Linked DNA regions of Lepisosteus oculatus. The protein of the gene in region 1 purifies or fractionates together with the protein of each later gene. This does not show direct contact. Links are inferred from orthologs where the notes say so. Each region holds a gene or a part of one and is shown in the gene's direction. Other genes may lie near its edges.

What was found. The genes of interacting proteins can lie anywhere in the genome.
Region 2: the proteins of slc12a4 (region 1) and ras-related protein Rab-6B purify together in Homo sapiens (co-immunoprecipitation; 3 studies listed by BioGRID and IntAct, with this or other methods). This does not show direct contact. The link is inferred for Lepisosteus oculatus from reciprocal best matches to the Homo sapiens genes SLC12A4 and RAB6B.

Annotation. Positions count from the first base shown.
Region 1 is NC_090715.1:3,583,119-3,590,223, forward strand, and holds the start of slc12a4 (solute carrier family 12 member 4), read left to right. Parts: upstream 1-4,104; 5' UTR 4,105-4,376; coding exon 4,377-4,512; exon of another isoform or gene 4,513-5,645; intron 5,646-7,105. UniProt on the Homo sapiens protein: Mediates electroneutral potassium-chloride cotransport when activated by cell swelling. May contribute to cell volume homeostasis in single cells. May be involved in the regulation of basolateral Cl(-) exit in NaCl absorbing epithelia.
Region 2 is NC_090708.1:10,335,271-10,342,494, reverse strand, and holds the start of ras-related protein Rab-6B, read left to right. Parts: upstream 1-4,207; 5' UTR 4,208-4,388; coding exon 4,389-4,458; intron 4,459-7,224. Other genes in the region: slco2a1 (solute carrier organic anion transporter family member 2A1), read left to right, coding at 596-719, 1,046-1,166. UniProt on the Homo sapiens protein: The small GTPases Rab are key regulators of intracellular membrane trafficking, from the formation of transport vesicles to their fusion with membranes. Rabs cycle between active GTP-bound and inactive GDP-bound states.

The DNA of each region.
Region 1 (7,105 bases):
ATATGCTGAACAAATTAGATGACAACCTTGTCAATCCAGGCCGCAGCTCACTAACTCTCCTCTCTCATTCTTTATTACACGTTTTAATGTAATAAGATGTGTAATAAGGAGATTGTATAGACTAGTCTTGTATAGTGATGGGGACACTATACTGTAAAAAGGCGCCGTCTTTCAGATAAGACGTAAACTAAGGTCCTGACTGTCTGTGGTTGTTAAAAATTCCTGGGCGTTTCTCAAAAAGAGTAAGGGTGTAACCCAAGAGTCCTGACCAAATTTCCGCCCAGCCTTTACCAATCATGGCCTTTTAATAATCCCCCTCTCTGAACTGACTTCCTCACTCTGCTCTCCTCCCCACTGAGAGCTGATGTGTGGTGAGCGTACTGGCACACTCTGGCTGCCATTGCATCATCCAGGTGGGGCTGCACACTGGTGGTGGTGGAGGGGATCCCCATTACCTGTAAAGCTCTTTGAGTGGAGTTATTATTGTTGTTGTTGTTGTTGTTGTTGTTGTTGTTGTTGTTGTTGTTGTTGTTGTTGTTGTTGTTGTTGTCGTCATCCACAGTAACAGACAAAGGAATATATATATATGATGTTCCCTTTTCTGTCAGTAGGCTTTACTACATCTGTATTTTTTAAAAGATCTTTATTATCATTAAAATGTATTTCAAACCATGTTCTTCACTTTCTATTTTCGATTTTCACTGTAGTTCCACATGAAGGGACTGTAGCCAACTGAACCACACGGCACTATTAAAGTTGCCAGGACTCCTCTCTCCAAAACAGGCTCTTTGTGTCGCCCTGAACTACTTTACATGCAACTCATAAGACATTAGCGAACCGATGTCTGGTATGATTCTGACCAGGTGTCACGGTGCTTTCTCACTTCCTTCTGTCTCCTGTGCTCTGTCCCCTTGTCCCAGGGACAGTCCAGCCCAGTCAGTGTCCTCACACGGTCTGCTGTCACCACTGACTGTGTGGTAATTAACAGGTGCCCAGGCAAACAGGCCAACAGGATGTCATGGCTCAATCTTTGTCGATTGTTAACTGCACTACTGTTTAGGCTGGGAACACTTAGAGACCGTGATTAAAACAGACACACAAAAGGAAAAAAACACACACCAGTCCCTGACAGATACGCTGGTCACTGCATGCCTACAAATTGTTAATATAGCCCCAAGCCTCCTTTATCACTTCTTGACATTAACATTTTCCTTTAATGAACAACATAATATCAGCAAGAGGAAACAATAAACCCTCTTGGGCAAATTGTTGAAGGATTATCTTATCAAACTGTCAGTAGGAGATTAAGTTTTGTCCTTCTCCTTAAAGCAGTCTTCCTCTAGACCCATGTGATAGGGCAGGTCTGCTTAATGAAGCACCAGTCTGGAAACAGATAGCAGTGATAACCTTGTGAAATCAGAGCGCTTCTTAGGAATGCATGGTGCTTTGCATTGCAAGGGGCTGTTACAGGGGTCGTACCGTATTCTGCCTTTGCAGTGTTGTGTCACTGTTATTTTACCGTCTTCTGTGATGCTAGCCCACATACTCAGGAAAGAAAGGGGAAAAAGTGTAGACAGCGAAAATGTTCCACACCAGAGTTATGAAGTCTCCTTCCATGAGTAAAAAGGCATAGCGGCAATTGTGGACTTCCTGGAAAGCGGGTCTTTGTACAGCTGCCGGGTTCTCGGTAATGACTCAGTGAGGGTGGGCAGATTACCCACTCAAATCGTCAGCTGACACACAAGGCTCAGCTGGACACAAAATGCCCCCGCTCTGGAGAGGAGGTAAAATTCACTATCTTACCGGGGACATGTCTATCGTCACCAGTATAATTGCACTCGTACCACACGCTATATTCCTTTAAATTAAGTGTAAGTTTGCATCGGATTAAACAGTGCGTAGTGTCTCAAAAGCAATCTTTCGTGTGTTGCAGAGCTCCGGCAGGAGGCGTGTTTAAAAAGAGGGCGAGAGGCTTATCACACACCTGTTCAACCACAGACACTCACTTGGATCCGCCCTGAATCCCTTGTTTAGTCAAATTAAACATTAATGAAAATTCTCCAGTCTTATGAATTAGAGCGCGTTTATTTCCAATATGTCATCTACACAATTGCACGCTCACTGTAGAGCTCTGGTAAGACCCGATTTTTGATTAGTCGGAGAAGAAAGATTTTCTGTCCCTTAAATCTTTTGTATTTAATCGTTGGCAATTGTCATTCCTTTCCCTTTATCGATTCAAAACGTGAAGGAGAGAAAGCTAATGTATTTCTATGATGAAGGAGTATCCCCGTCTGAGTCAAAGTAAACAGAATTCAGTCTCAGTAGCGTCTCTGAAGTCACCCTCTAACGTTTTCGCGGACATGCAAACATAAATGAATGAGGCGGAAAAGGCTTTAGCATTAATGAAGATTGTTTTGTGTGCTTCCACAAACCAGGGGACACCAAGGTTTGTAGTGCTGAGAACTGTCCTCTTCAGCGACCGTGTGGGCCAGCGGGTTGTGGATGGTGAGTATTGTACAGTACAGTAGGAATAGGGAAACGTGAAGAGGGCTTCTCCACCTTGTACACATTTTCTTAGCATTTGTTGAATGATCTCCAGACTGAAGTTAAATAATCGCACCCAGTGGGGAACGAAGGGCCGTTATTTTTCAACCTCAGCTGCTCCATAGATGAATTTTGATTACAGGCCTTGAAAGTGTAGAGCTCATCTGCTTTGATCTCTCCCTGCTCATAATTATTGTTATTCAGTTGCAGGGAAATGTGTGTAAGGTAGAGTGCGCTAACAGAAGAACAGCAGACAGCAGATCATGCCAACTATTAACACCAATCGTTGCAGAAAAGACAGAGTTTAGTATTGTACAGGCGAGTGCGAGACTGAAACTGCTGGTTACTGAGGTTGTAATCGGACTGCTACAGTCGACAAAGACGGTGTTGTGTTTTAATGGAACAAGTAAAAGGCTTATTCCATGGTGAAAAGAGGGGAAAATAAAACAACGTTTCGGCTGTGCAGCCTTCTTCAGGTGTGAATTATGTTGCCTGTAGCCACCCTCCGCTGCCGAACCCCACCCACAGGCGGGGTTTCAGCGAGCGAAGTCTGTCCGGGGGGGCGGCTGGCGTGACGTCACACGGAGGTGCCGCTGGGTTCAGAGGTCTGGTAGGCGTCCGGATACGCATCTGGATCCCGAAAACAACACCCTCGTTTTGCGGTTAGGAAAAAGCCAGTTAAAAGTCTACAGTTTTAATTCAAGTGTCTCCGGCAGTGCAGAAATAAAAATATATCGCCCTCAATTTCTTAGTTGGTGCTGATTATATCTAGCTTCAAAACTGGAAGAGTGACCAAGGAAGATGATGATAAAAAATAATAAACTTTATTTATATAGCGCCTTTCAACGTGGCTTCTAAAAGCGCTTTACTGAACGACAACAACAATAAAAAATACACAAGATAATCATAGATTATTATTTGTAAGGGTTGTATATACAAGTAGTGTGAATTAAGTGTGTAGTGGATTAATTGTGCGACTGTTTACAACGTGTTTAAAAAGTCTATCAGAAGCACTTGTGCAATCCAGAGACCAACTAACTTTTGTGGGAAAATGTGTTTTTGAAGGAAACTTACGTCACCTCTGTCTCATGCCGGTTACAAGCGCAATTACATTTACATTTCAGCTGGGGGTGGAAGGAATAAGATCATTTTTGTTTTCCATAAAAAATACATTTGTTCCACATTCAGTATAAGTGCTTTTTTTTCTATCCCCAGTTGATCTTCCAGTTGAGCAGGCTGATTTTTAATATTCTGCGGCCCAGTCAAAACATTTCTAAAAAGAGTCACACATTTTAAATGGTACAGATACAACAATGGTTTGGAAAAGGAGAAAATACCAGAAGCCCAAGACGCTAAGCAATACTATATTTTAAATAAAAATATAATTAAGGAGATCACTTAAGTTCCCAGTTTATTTTCCTTTTTTCTCTCTCTCCGCCTGAAACAAAGTTGTGAGGGAAATTACCCAGAACTCATTTAGAGACTTGAGTGCGAGAACTCTGTGTTCCGCTAGTTTGAGAGCTGGCTGTGCGTGGCGGGGCAGGGGGGGAGTTTGTATTGTCTCTGCTTCTTTGTAGAGATCATAAAGGAGGCTAGGGCTCCTGAGGAAGGCTGTAATGATTCCTGTCAATTCAGACTTATTCAGTGCAAACTTTCAAGCTCCGGGTAATGGGTGGAGTTGGGTAATATGGTAATTTCCTCTGGAGGAAGTGACCAAACTGTACTGGAATGCAGTGAGAGATTTTGGAGTTTAGCTGCTGTGGCAGGGAGTGCTCACTGAACTGTTGCTAAGAGTTAGCAGGACCGAGCTACCGTTATCTGTGAGGAACGAAATGCCCCATTTTACAGTGGTACCAGTGGAGGATAATAGCCAATCAAACTATGACAGTTTGGAAGGGATCAACTGGGTTGACTACAGAGATACGGGGCAGGCTTACCCAGACAATAATGACACAGTGAGTTCTGATGGTAAGTTTCAGACATTTTTTTTCTGACCTCTGTCGGGAATTTAAGTTTTATCTGTAATTCTCACGATCTGAAGAGAAAGGATTTTCCTGGGTTCTGTGAGGAATGCAGAAATTAGCCTGTCATCTGTCTTTTTGTTCTTCAGCTCCTATTCACAATGATTGATGAAGGTTACACACATTCTTCATTCTGTATTGATGTAATAGTAGCAATCAAAAACAGTTTATTGGTTTCACTTTTTATTTCATGGTTATTTCCTGAGATCCCCTGGCACTCCAGTCCTTTGCATGGCTTCATGAGGTCTATGTGGGCTGGTACTATATTAGGGAGCAGAACCAGGCAGTGACAAAACAAGTCTTTTCTAGTGCAGACAGATGGCAAAGTAGTTGTCTGTCACAAAGACATAACAATTGGACAGGGGAGGGGGCGGGGTGGGCAGACTGTCACTATCAGATCTTCCACAAATCTCGCACAGAGAAGACAGAATCGCTGTAACCAGACAGAGAGTTTTGTGTGCCCCTGTAAGCAAATGGTGAACGTTATTTCTGCAAGCTGCCTTTCTTTGTCATGGCTTGATTTAAGAAGTGCTACGCAAGCAGTTTTGCTGGGAAGTTACAGTCTTCCCTTGTTAGAGTCCAGGAAAGAGTCGTCCAGATCCGCAGCCACTCCTTTCCAATAGAGAAAGGAAAGAGTTTGGAACTGCAGGGTAGGATTTCAGTGTGCCAGTAGAGCATTACTGCACGGTATCTTTCAGAAGCATTATTACTGGGGGATCAAACGGCACTTTAGCTTACAGATAAAGCAGTAACGCAGAGTGCTGTAACTTACCATTAGGGTACGTCTGACATATTAGTCACTGCAGGGTGCTCCTTTCAAGCAGTAAGGATGACAGCAAGGATTATATAAGAAGAGTGGAGACGGAAAGTTCCAGTCTGCTTGGTCTTGACATCTGCTCACTGCCGTGAGGCATCTGGGCCCAGTGCCCACTTGCATTTGTTGCTAGCTTACACCGAGCCGCTGTTGAGACGCTTGAGGGGTTGAAACATACAGCCGAGCGAAGATACTTGTAGCAGGAACTTGTCCGGGTAAAACTCCGCAAACCGAGCACAGCTGTTCTGCACAACTGGAAATGTTTACTGTAATAAAAAAAGAAAGCTCTGTAATGGAAGAAGACTTGAGTCCGCCTCGCAGTGAAAACAAAACTTTGCATAAACACTCAGTCGATAAATCCCCACTGTACACAAAGTTTGCGCTGTTTTGTAAAGTAGCCAAGCACAGCAAAAACAATAAAATAGCTTTCTATTTTAGACACTTCCTGTACCCACTGCATCCTGTGCATTTTCTAATGATCTGAACTTGAATTATTGTTTTGAAAGTGTTTGTTATGCTGGTATTTCTCTATCCTAATTGGGAAGGTAATTTATCGGATCCATGCATTTTAATCCTCCTTCATAGTCTGGCTGACTCTTGCCATGCAGTTCTCTTTGTGAAGTTCTGTGTTTTCCAGAACCAGACTTGCTGAATTATCTGCGGCCCAGGTATGGCAGGCCAGGAGTCACCACACTCTGATCCAAAATCACCTGGTCTGGAGCTTGAGCACAGGGTGATGAGTGGTTTGACCTCACATGGTGAACACAGGAACACTACGCAATCCCCATCACCAGACTCTCTCTCCGGCCCAGCTCCTGGCCAGCCACACCAGACCCAAGCTTTTTTTCCAAGCCTCTAAACATTTCTTTACAAGAAAGAAAAGTAGAATAAACTCGAAGATGGACAGAGCTTTTGAACAATTCCTGGCACAGAAGTGTTTTGAATGTCACACAAATAGAAGATTGTTTTTTTTTTTCTCAGATGCATTTTTGTTCATTGCAGGTGTTACTTAGTAACAGTATGGCAGGGCATGGGAATGATTATCTCTTTTGAGAGCTCCTCTGTGCCCAGGCCTGAACTGGGAAACAGCTCCAGGCCAGCTGAATTTTTTTGAACTCTTGAACAGAGTAAATGGTGAGCTGACTAGATCTGAGTGTTCAAAACTGTCAGAGCTGCTGGCAAAGTTAACCCTGCGGTCCTCTTCAGAATGAGCAGTGAAAAATCAGCCGGAGAACAGTTGGAAACTGCAGGGAAATGCATTTAAAACTGAGAACAGGCATATCTTTACACATTTATACAACAACCACCATGTTGTTGAAGGTAATATCCTGGATTCAGTCAAGAAATGGCTGGATCAATAAGCTACTAATAAGCAGGCTGGATGGGATGTACCAGGTACCCTCCAGTCGTTTGTAACTGTTCTTAGGCTTTTAACACACAGAAAACTGACTGGCATTTTCCTAGGTGGTGGAGGATCCTGGAATCTGCAGATCTAGGACCAAGTGGAATTGAGCTTCCGTGTGTGTGAGCAGCTCTTCATCTAACGCTGCGTTATTTTCGACTGCGAGCAATAGCAACTACAAAGACCGAACTCTTCCCTTAGTGTCCTCTAGCTTTATTGACGAGATTTTGGCAACTGGCCGTAAATACAAAGACTGGCTGTCATTTGTGTGTACAGGTGCCGAAGTGAGGCTGAAAGGCGAAGGGCTGAGTTAGTGCAGACTGA
Region 2 (7,224 bases), on another chromosome or scaffold:
TTTTCCTAGTTTTTTTTTAATTTCCTTGAGAAATTTTTTGAAATACACTCTTTTGCAGCACACAAAATATCAGCAACAGTATGGTGCAGTGACCCAGTGACACTGAGATATATATCCTGTTAAAATACTTGAATATTATTAGTACTCTGTATTTTTGTTTCTGAGACAGCCTAAGTGTTTATGTGTAAAATACTGGCTCACCAGTCACAGGCAGCAGAGGCTTGTTTTCCTCTTGTGTGTCTGTGATTTAAATGAAGTCCAATATCGCCCCCAGCTGCTGTAGGTTCAATTTAAGCATGATAGTGCAAGCAAAAATTGTGGGACTTGCATCAAAACTTAAAACATCAGATTTGAAATGTCGCAGAAAGGAAACGCTTCTTACGTATTTCTTAAGTAATAACAATAGGTCATTTAAAAAGAGAGAAATTAGAATTTAATTCTGAGTAAGCATACATTTAATGAACATTTTAAGAATTTCTTGCCAAGGAGATTTCAGCAGAAACAGACACAACTATGATACGTCACCACTTCTGTTGAACAGAAATTGCCCCAGTGTTGTGTAGAAGTTGTCACCTCTTCCTCTCTCCGTTCCCAGCTTGGTTGCCAGCTCCAGCCATATTTGGAGTGCTGATTGATTCCTCCTGCATCAGGTGGAAAGAGATATGTGCAAACAAGGCTGGAGCTTGCAGTTACTATGACAACAACCTCCTTAGGAACAGGTAGGAACATTCTACTTGATCTGTTATATCTCTTTACCCTTTAAGTATCTGCAGGTTTTGGGAAAGGGGGTTATGTTAACCCCGTTACTGAGTTTGTTAACTTCTGCTGTTGATCAAAAGATGTTTGTTTGGGAACAAAGGGTTTTTGTCACATGACATCACACAGCAACATACTGTATTCTTCCTTAGTTCTTTAGAATGTAAATTCTCTTTGTTTGACACATCAGGAAAGAAAGGCCTCTTACAGCATCTCCCACACAATTGCTAATTATGGTGTTTGATGAGATATGCTTCAAATGTTCTAATCCAATCACTTTGTTCTGCAGATACTTGGGCATACAAGTTGGATTTAAAGCCATGGGGATTGTTTTGCTAGCTCTGGTTGGGTGGAAAGTGCATCGAACCAATGCTTACAGCTTTCAGAAGAGACCCGAAGGGCCTGTTTGAAATCTGTGCTCCTGTTTCCGCAGTACATACGGAAAAACTAAATGTGAAATCGGTTTGCATGATTTCATCTTTCATTTCAGTTTGTTGAAAGTGACATTGTATTTCCGGGCCTTTAAAATGGTCATTCTGCTGAAGAAGGAAGAAAGTTAAACACTCCAGCACAAGAGCTCTTGACATCGCCAAGCTTGGAATACCTCATATTACCCACCCTCTGTTGGATTTTACTCATTTGCTAAGAAAGCCATTCCCTTTTCAGGGAATAGTTTGGACATCATATGATTATTTTTCATAATTAATAAATGGTTGGTAGTGACAGCAAGTGCTGATAAATGTTACAGATTCAAAGCTCTGCTATTTCAACTGTTATTTATTAGCTTTTCTGGGAGGCGTGAAAGAGATAATCTTTACATTTGATCCTTTCTTCTTTTACTCTAAACTTCTTGATACAATCACTTTTTTTGTGTTTTGGGGAATCTTCCCTCAAGGTAAAATCGCACTGACATCAGGAATGAGAAATTAATTGATTGCTAATAAGCCATTTGGCTACATAGGTAATAAAAATTAAGTATGAAGTGAATATGAATAAAGCAGAAGCATTTTAGACTGTGGGCTCTATCGTAATGAGCTTAACATACCCTTATTATATTTTTGTTAATTGCCTGTTATATTGTGTATTGTATATAACTAAGTCTACCATATTTTAATTTTGTTAACTCTAGACGAACATTGAACAAATAAACTGATAAAATATATCTTTTTTTTTATGACAGCACCACTATATACAAAACATTACCACCCTACTGTCAATGACGAATCAGATTGATTAACAGTTCCCATTTTCAAAGGGAGTGTAATGTGAATTAATTGAAACCAAAAATACAGGGGCTGAATTTTTTAAAGAAGGGTGAAGTACAAGCTGTATGTGCTGTATGTAATGTAACAAGTATCTAGTTTGGTTTTATAGTTGTATATTTTAATTTTATTAATGTATCATCATTGGATTCTTCACTTGAAAAACTGTTTTTTTGTCAAAAATGTAATATTTCATAAGGTTTGAGTTTTAAAAAAGTATAGCTCTGACTGTTACTAGATGAAACACTATGCTGGCTTTAACACCATGAGAAGTATTTGCTCCTTCTTTAATAAAGACATTTTAAAAATAGCTACACAAGAGTTGAGATTTTTCTCCAGACAGCTAGATTTGTAAAATGTCACATTGCCACAATATCTGTTTTCCTCTAAATAAAAAGTAGACCTCCCTTTTTTCCTGGTGCAGAGTAAAGTTTAATGTGGTTGAAATTAAATTAATTGTACTATATTTGTTTTAAGGAGTGTGTTATTTTTAGCCTAATAAAGAAGCAATGTTTTGATATCAAACATCTCACACTTGGAAAATGTTTATAAGACTACAGACATTTTTGAAATTCTCCTGCTTACTCCTAGTACAAGAGATTAATTTACGTTTACACATCATAATTTTTGTATTTAGCATCAAACTACAGTTTACATAAGATCACAGCTGTGTGAATAAAGTCAGAAGCACAAAGATTTTATCTAGAAGCTGTATATGGTTTAAATTAATGTTTAAACTAATGTACAACATTAAAAATATACAGTATGTCTATAGCAATTTGATATCATGCCATTTTGATATATTTTGTTAGAAAAGACATAATAAATATAAAAATGCTCTCTTGTGTCTCACTGGATTTTTCTTTGAAAGCATGATATATTATCAATAAGAACACGAATCAGAAGAAGCTATTTCATCCATTATATTCATGTGTGAACCTACTGAAATTGTCCAAAAACTTTGTCATACCACTTCCACAAAAGTTCCATTGAAACACATTTATGGTTGTTTCGGAATTTTAGGGGACAAGTGAGGTATACAGATATGTACAGGAGGGCGAATGGTTAACTGGCGTACGAGCAGTTGTGAAGGCATGTGATTACATCACTAATAGACAGCGCCACCTAGTGGCAGACCAGAGGTAGTCCTCCACCTTACAGATTTCGGTTTGATCACATTTTCAGCGTCAGGGATAGACAACATTGGTCGGGGGGCAAACAGTCTCAGAGCTGGCTTTAAAATCACTTATGCCTAAACGCAAAAACAAACCTTTCTGCTTTGAGTGTGGTTTTATGTAGCCTGCTTCATTCCGTCATAGAGCATGCAGTACGTATGAAACCGTAGTTGTTCTAAAAGATGTAAACAGGCACATTCGAAGCGGAGCGCAGCAGAAATCATAGTTTCTGTTAGGGTCTGGATAGGTGGTAGGAATCAGGAGCTGAATTACTGTAGGGGTTGATTTGTCACAAACACCTATATAACTGATATTTATTTTCTAAAAATGGTTATAAAAGATTATAGGGTTACACCTTTGCTCTACTGAAGTACATAGTCCACATTTGGAGAAAAGGGTACCTCATAAATGCACAATTACGACCAAACCTTTGCTATCACCATGTAATTGGTAATACTGCTAGGGTTCTGAAAATATTAACCAAAGTAGGAGTTACATCGAAGCACATAGTCTGTGATCTTTAAACAAAAGAGAATGCAACTTTTCCATTAGTTAAAGACGATCTTGGTTCTCTTGGTTTGTTTATGATCAGTCTATGGTTAGTTTTGCCATTAAAAAGTGATTTTTCCATCTGGCAGTGAAACGTTTCTCATTTAGGCAGGTTATAGCTGTAGTGTAACAGAAGGATTATGGTTTACAGTATTTTTAAAACCCTTTTTTTTTGTTGTTGTTTGAAATCACATTTAACTGCAGTGAGATACGCCCTATCAACAAACTAAGCAGTGAGCACTGCCAGTCGTGAGTGGAATACAAGGAATAGAGCACGACAGGCATTTTGTTGTGTTTTGCTCAACGAAATTTAATTTTTGTTTCAAGTTAGTGTACTCGATTTCTGGTTATTGTAAAAACTAAAAGCAGGAAGACGTTACTTTTGCTAATATGTGATCGGGTATGTTTCTGCACTGCCTGAACATCACTTGCATGACGTCATATAGGAGGGGGGGGGGAGAGCAGACACAGAGAGGAGAGGCCGCGCAGGCGCACAGGCTGCTGAAACTGACAGGCAAGGCAGTGCAGCATTCTCATCGTTCAGCGGATTTAAGCGTATCTTTACCCATCGAGCATCCACTGCAAGTGTACCTGAAGAGGTAGATCGCATATCAATCATCCTTTCCAGTAAAAAATCAGCCCAAACATGTCCGTGGGTGGCGACTTTGGGAACCCTTTAAGAAAATTCAAACTCGTTTTTCTGGGGGAGCAAAGCGGTGAGTCCTCTTCTGTTTTCTTCTCCTAGCTGCCCAAGTGCTAAAATAATCTGCATGCACTTGCCGAATTGGTGAAATCACGAATTGTACAAAATTGAGAAAAATACCTCTAAAATTCCTATAATAAGACTAAAAAAAAGTTACACAAAAAATCGGTAAATAAGGAAATATCCTCTCGATATACTGTGTTTTGCAAGTTTTTTGTACTCTTATTACTGTAAGGAGCAAAGCAATTAAATCATACCGAAATCCCTAAAATCCCAAACTGAGTAAATTAAATCTTTATTTAAATAAATATTAAGTGTAAAGCATGTTTTTTTTTTAATATTGGTGTTGATCACAAAATCATCATTATCATATCTTTTAAAACTATACTTTTTAAAATTTATTGTTGTGAGATGGTCTTTTTCACTTAATATTTTGGTTCGGTTTGTTATGCAATAGTAATTTGTTCCGATATGAGTTGCTGTATTAAGATTTCATCTAATTTTAACGTTATGAATTGTTAGCGAAATGTATTGCTTTAAAATTAAATAGAACACTATATCATATAATGTCCCTTTGATTTTGATTGCTTAATAGTTTTTTTATTTTTTTACTCAGCGAGCAGCAGTTGATTTTTGAATAAATGAAAAATAATGCTGTATGCATTGAGACACACCCAGTTTGCTTCTGTCTGTGGAACAACTTGCTATCAGGCGTAAAGCTACAGAGTCTCTTCTTCATCTGGTGATAACGTCAGCGCATAGACGATTTTTGGTGTTTGTATTCCATTTTCTGTATTCATTAATTTATGTATGTATGTAACACACACATGTATATAACTATATTGTATGTATGTATGAGAAGACTGGGTATATCATGGAATACTACTGGTAACTGTTCCATTATCTAAGTAGAGTTCGGTTTTGAGCAAGCAGATTTCTAAAAGGCATAGCTCTTGTATTTTCCAAGAGAGTGTTAATTCCGATCTTGTTGCAAGCAGATTTTAATGTACACAGCACAGGTCAAATATTATAAACAACAAAACATGCAAAGCTGGACTGAGAGCATACTGATCGTTCTTGTATGTTAACTGGTCTCTTTTCTTGAATGGAACAAACATTACTATCTGACAAAACTTTGAAGAAAAGACATTGAAAAGCGTCATCTCCTAAATATAACCGCAACTCAAATAATTCTAATTTTTTTGAAAGAAAAAACTTGATTTAAAAGTCAGTCCCATAATCTTGCAGGGAATTTATTTTGGCTACAGAAATCCTTGCAATACTTGCAAGTGATGTTTTACATTTTCCTCAGTTCATTTACTGTACTCACTGGTTGATTGTGGTTCAGTTTCCGTTACATTTGCACCTGAAACATTCTAGGTAAAATATTTCAGGTATCATGACCCCTAAAAATCTGTATTTTGTTATTATAAAGCGGCTTATTCATTGCAACCCAGAAATCTATTGGTATGACAGATGTCATTCTCGCCCTGTATGTCCTGTAGTGGTCACAAAAGCAGCGTTGAGGGATGTATTTGGAATGGCACATCACATAGAAAGTCACACAATAACAATTGATCCTGGACTGAGGGCAGCAGGTCTGATTCCTTAAATTTAGAGGCGCATAGAGTAGGAAATCATTCGTCACAGTCTATAACCAATAGTATTGTTATTCTTTGCATTTCTACTTTGTGCTGAAGCACACAATATGTTGCTGCTGAAATGTTATTCAGACAGAAACTAGCTTGTCTTGTCCAAGGTCATTGGCTTATGCAGTGTGGGTCACTGTCGCATGTCTGTTATGTGTGGCAACATGTTGCACGGATAGGCTCCATCCATCATGATCCACTTTCCTGGAGATTGTTTTCTGCCGACATTGCCATCCTACAAACTCCCAAGAGACTCTCATGATGTATGGGTCAGTATGGCCTCCACAGACTTCTTTCTACTCTAAAAAATGTATTGACGGACAGTAAGGTAGATTACATAAGTCTGGTAATTCTTGTAATGTCTCACCTACCCACTTAAATATGCATATATTACAGAATAGAATTGTCCTGTTTTTATTTACTGAGATTTTATATATATGTACAGTATACGACTAAGAGATCCTCTTTCAAAGCAAGGGCAATTCATTGTCTCCAATCATCTGATAGCATCTGATCCTTACTGGCTCTTTTGCTGCTCAGCTAATGAAATAAAATAGTACTTTCTGTGAGGGTATGATTGGTTTCCTTTTAAGATTCAGTATCTGCACTGTAGGTCTGCAATCTTGCACTTTTCTAAGAGTAACAGAACATTTCTTGGGTAGAAATTGTTCTATTTTATTAATATTTTGGCTTAACATCCAGAAATTAGAGGTTTATACAGTTTTTATTACTTTGTTAAAGGAGCTGTTTTTAAGCTTTTTTTAATTCCAAGATATTGGAATTATATTATATATGTTTGTTGTAACTCTCTATTATTTTCTATATTAAATTTATCCTGGCAGTGCTTTTATTAACCTGATTATTAACAAATCTATATGCAAAAGTTCGAAATATATTCTGGAAATATAAGTTGACTAACATAGGGAAACATCTATAAAGAAATTAATTGAATTAAGATTGAAACCTTAATTATGTCTGGCTCTGTAGGTTTACTACTTTGCTTTTAAGATTGAGCACAGTTCTATACAAAACAGTACAGCTTTTGTCTCTTGTGGTTTACAGTAAAATGCTTTTGAAGAAGCTTTAGATGCTGTCCATGGTGCTGATTTCCCTGTCACCTTGAAGGCAGC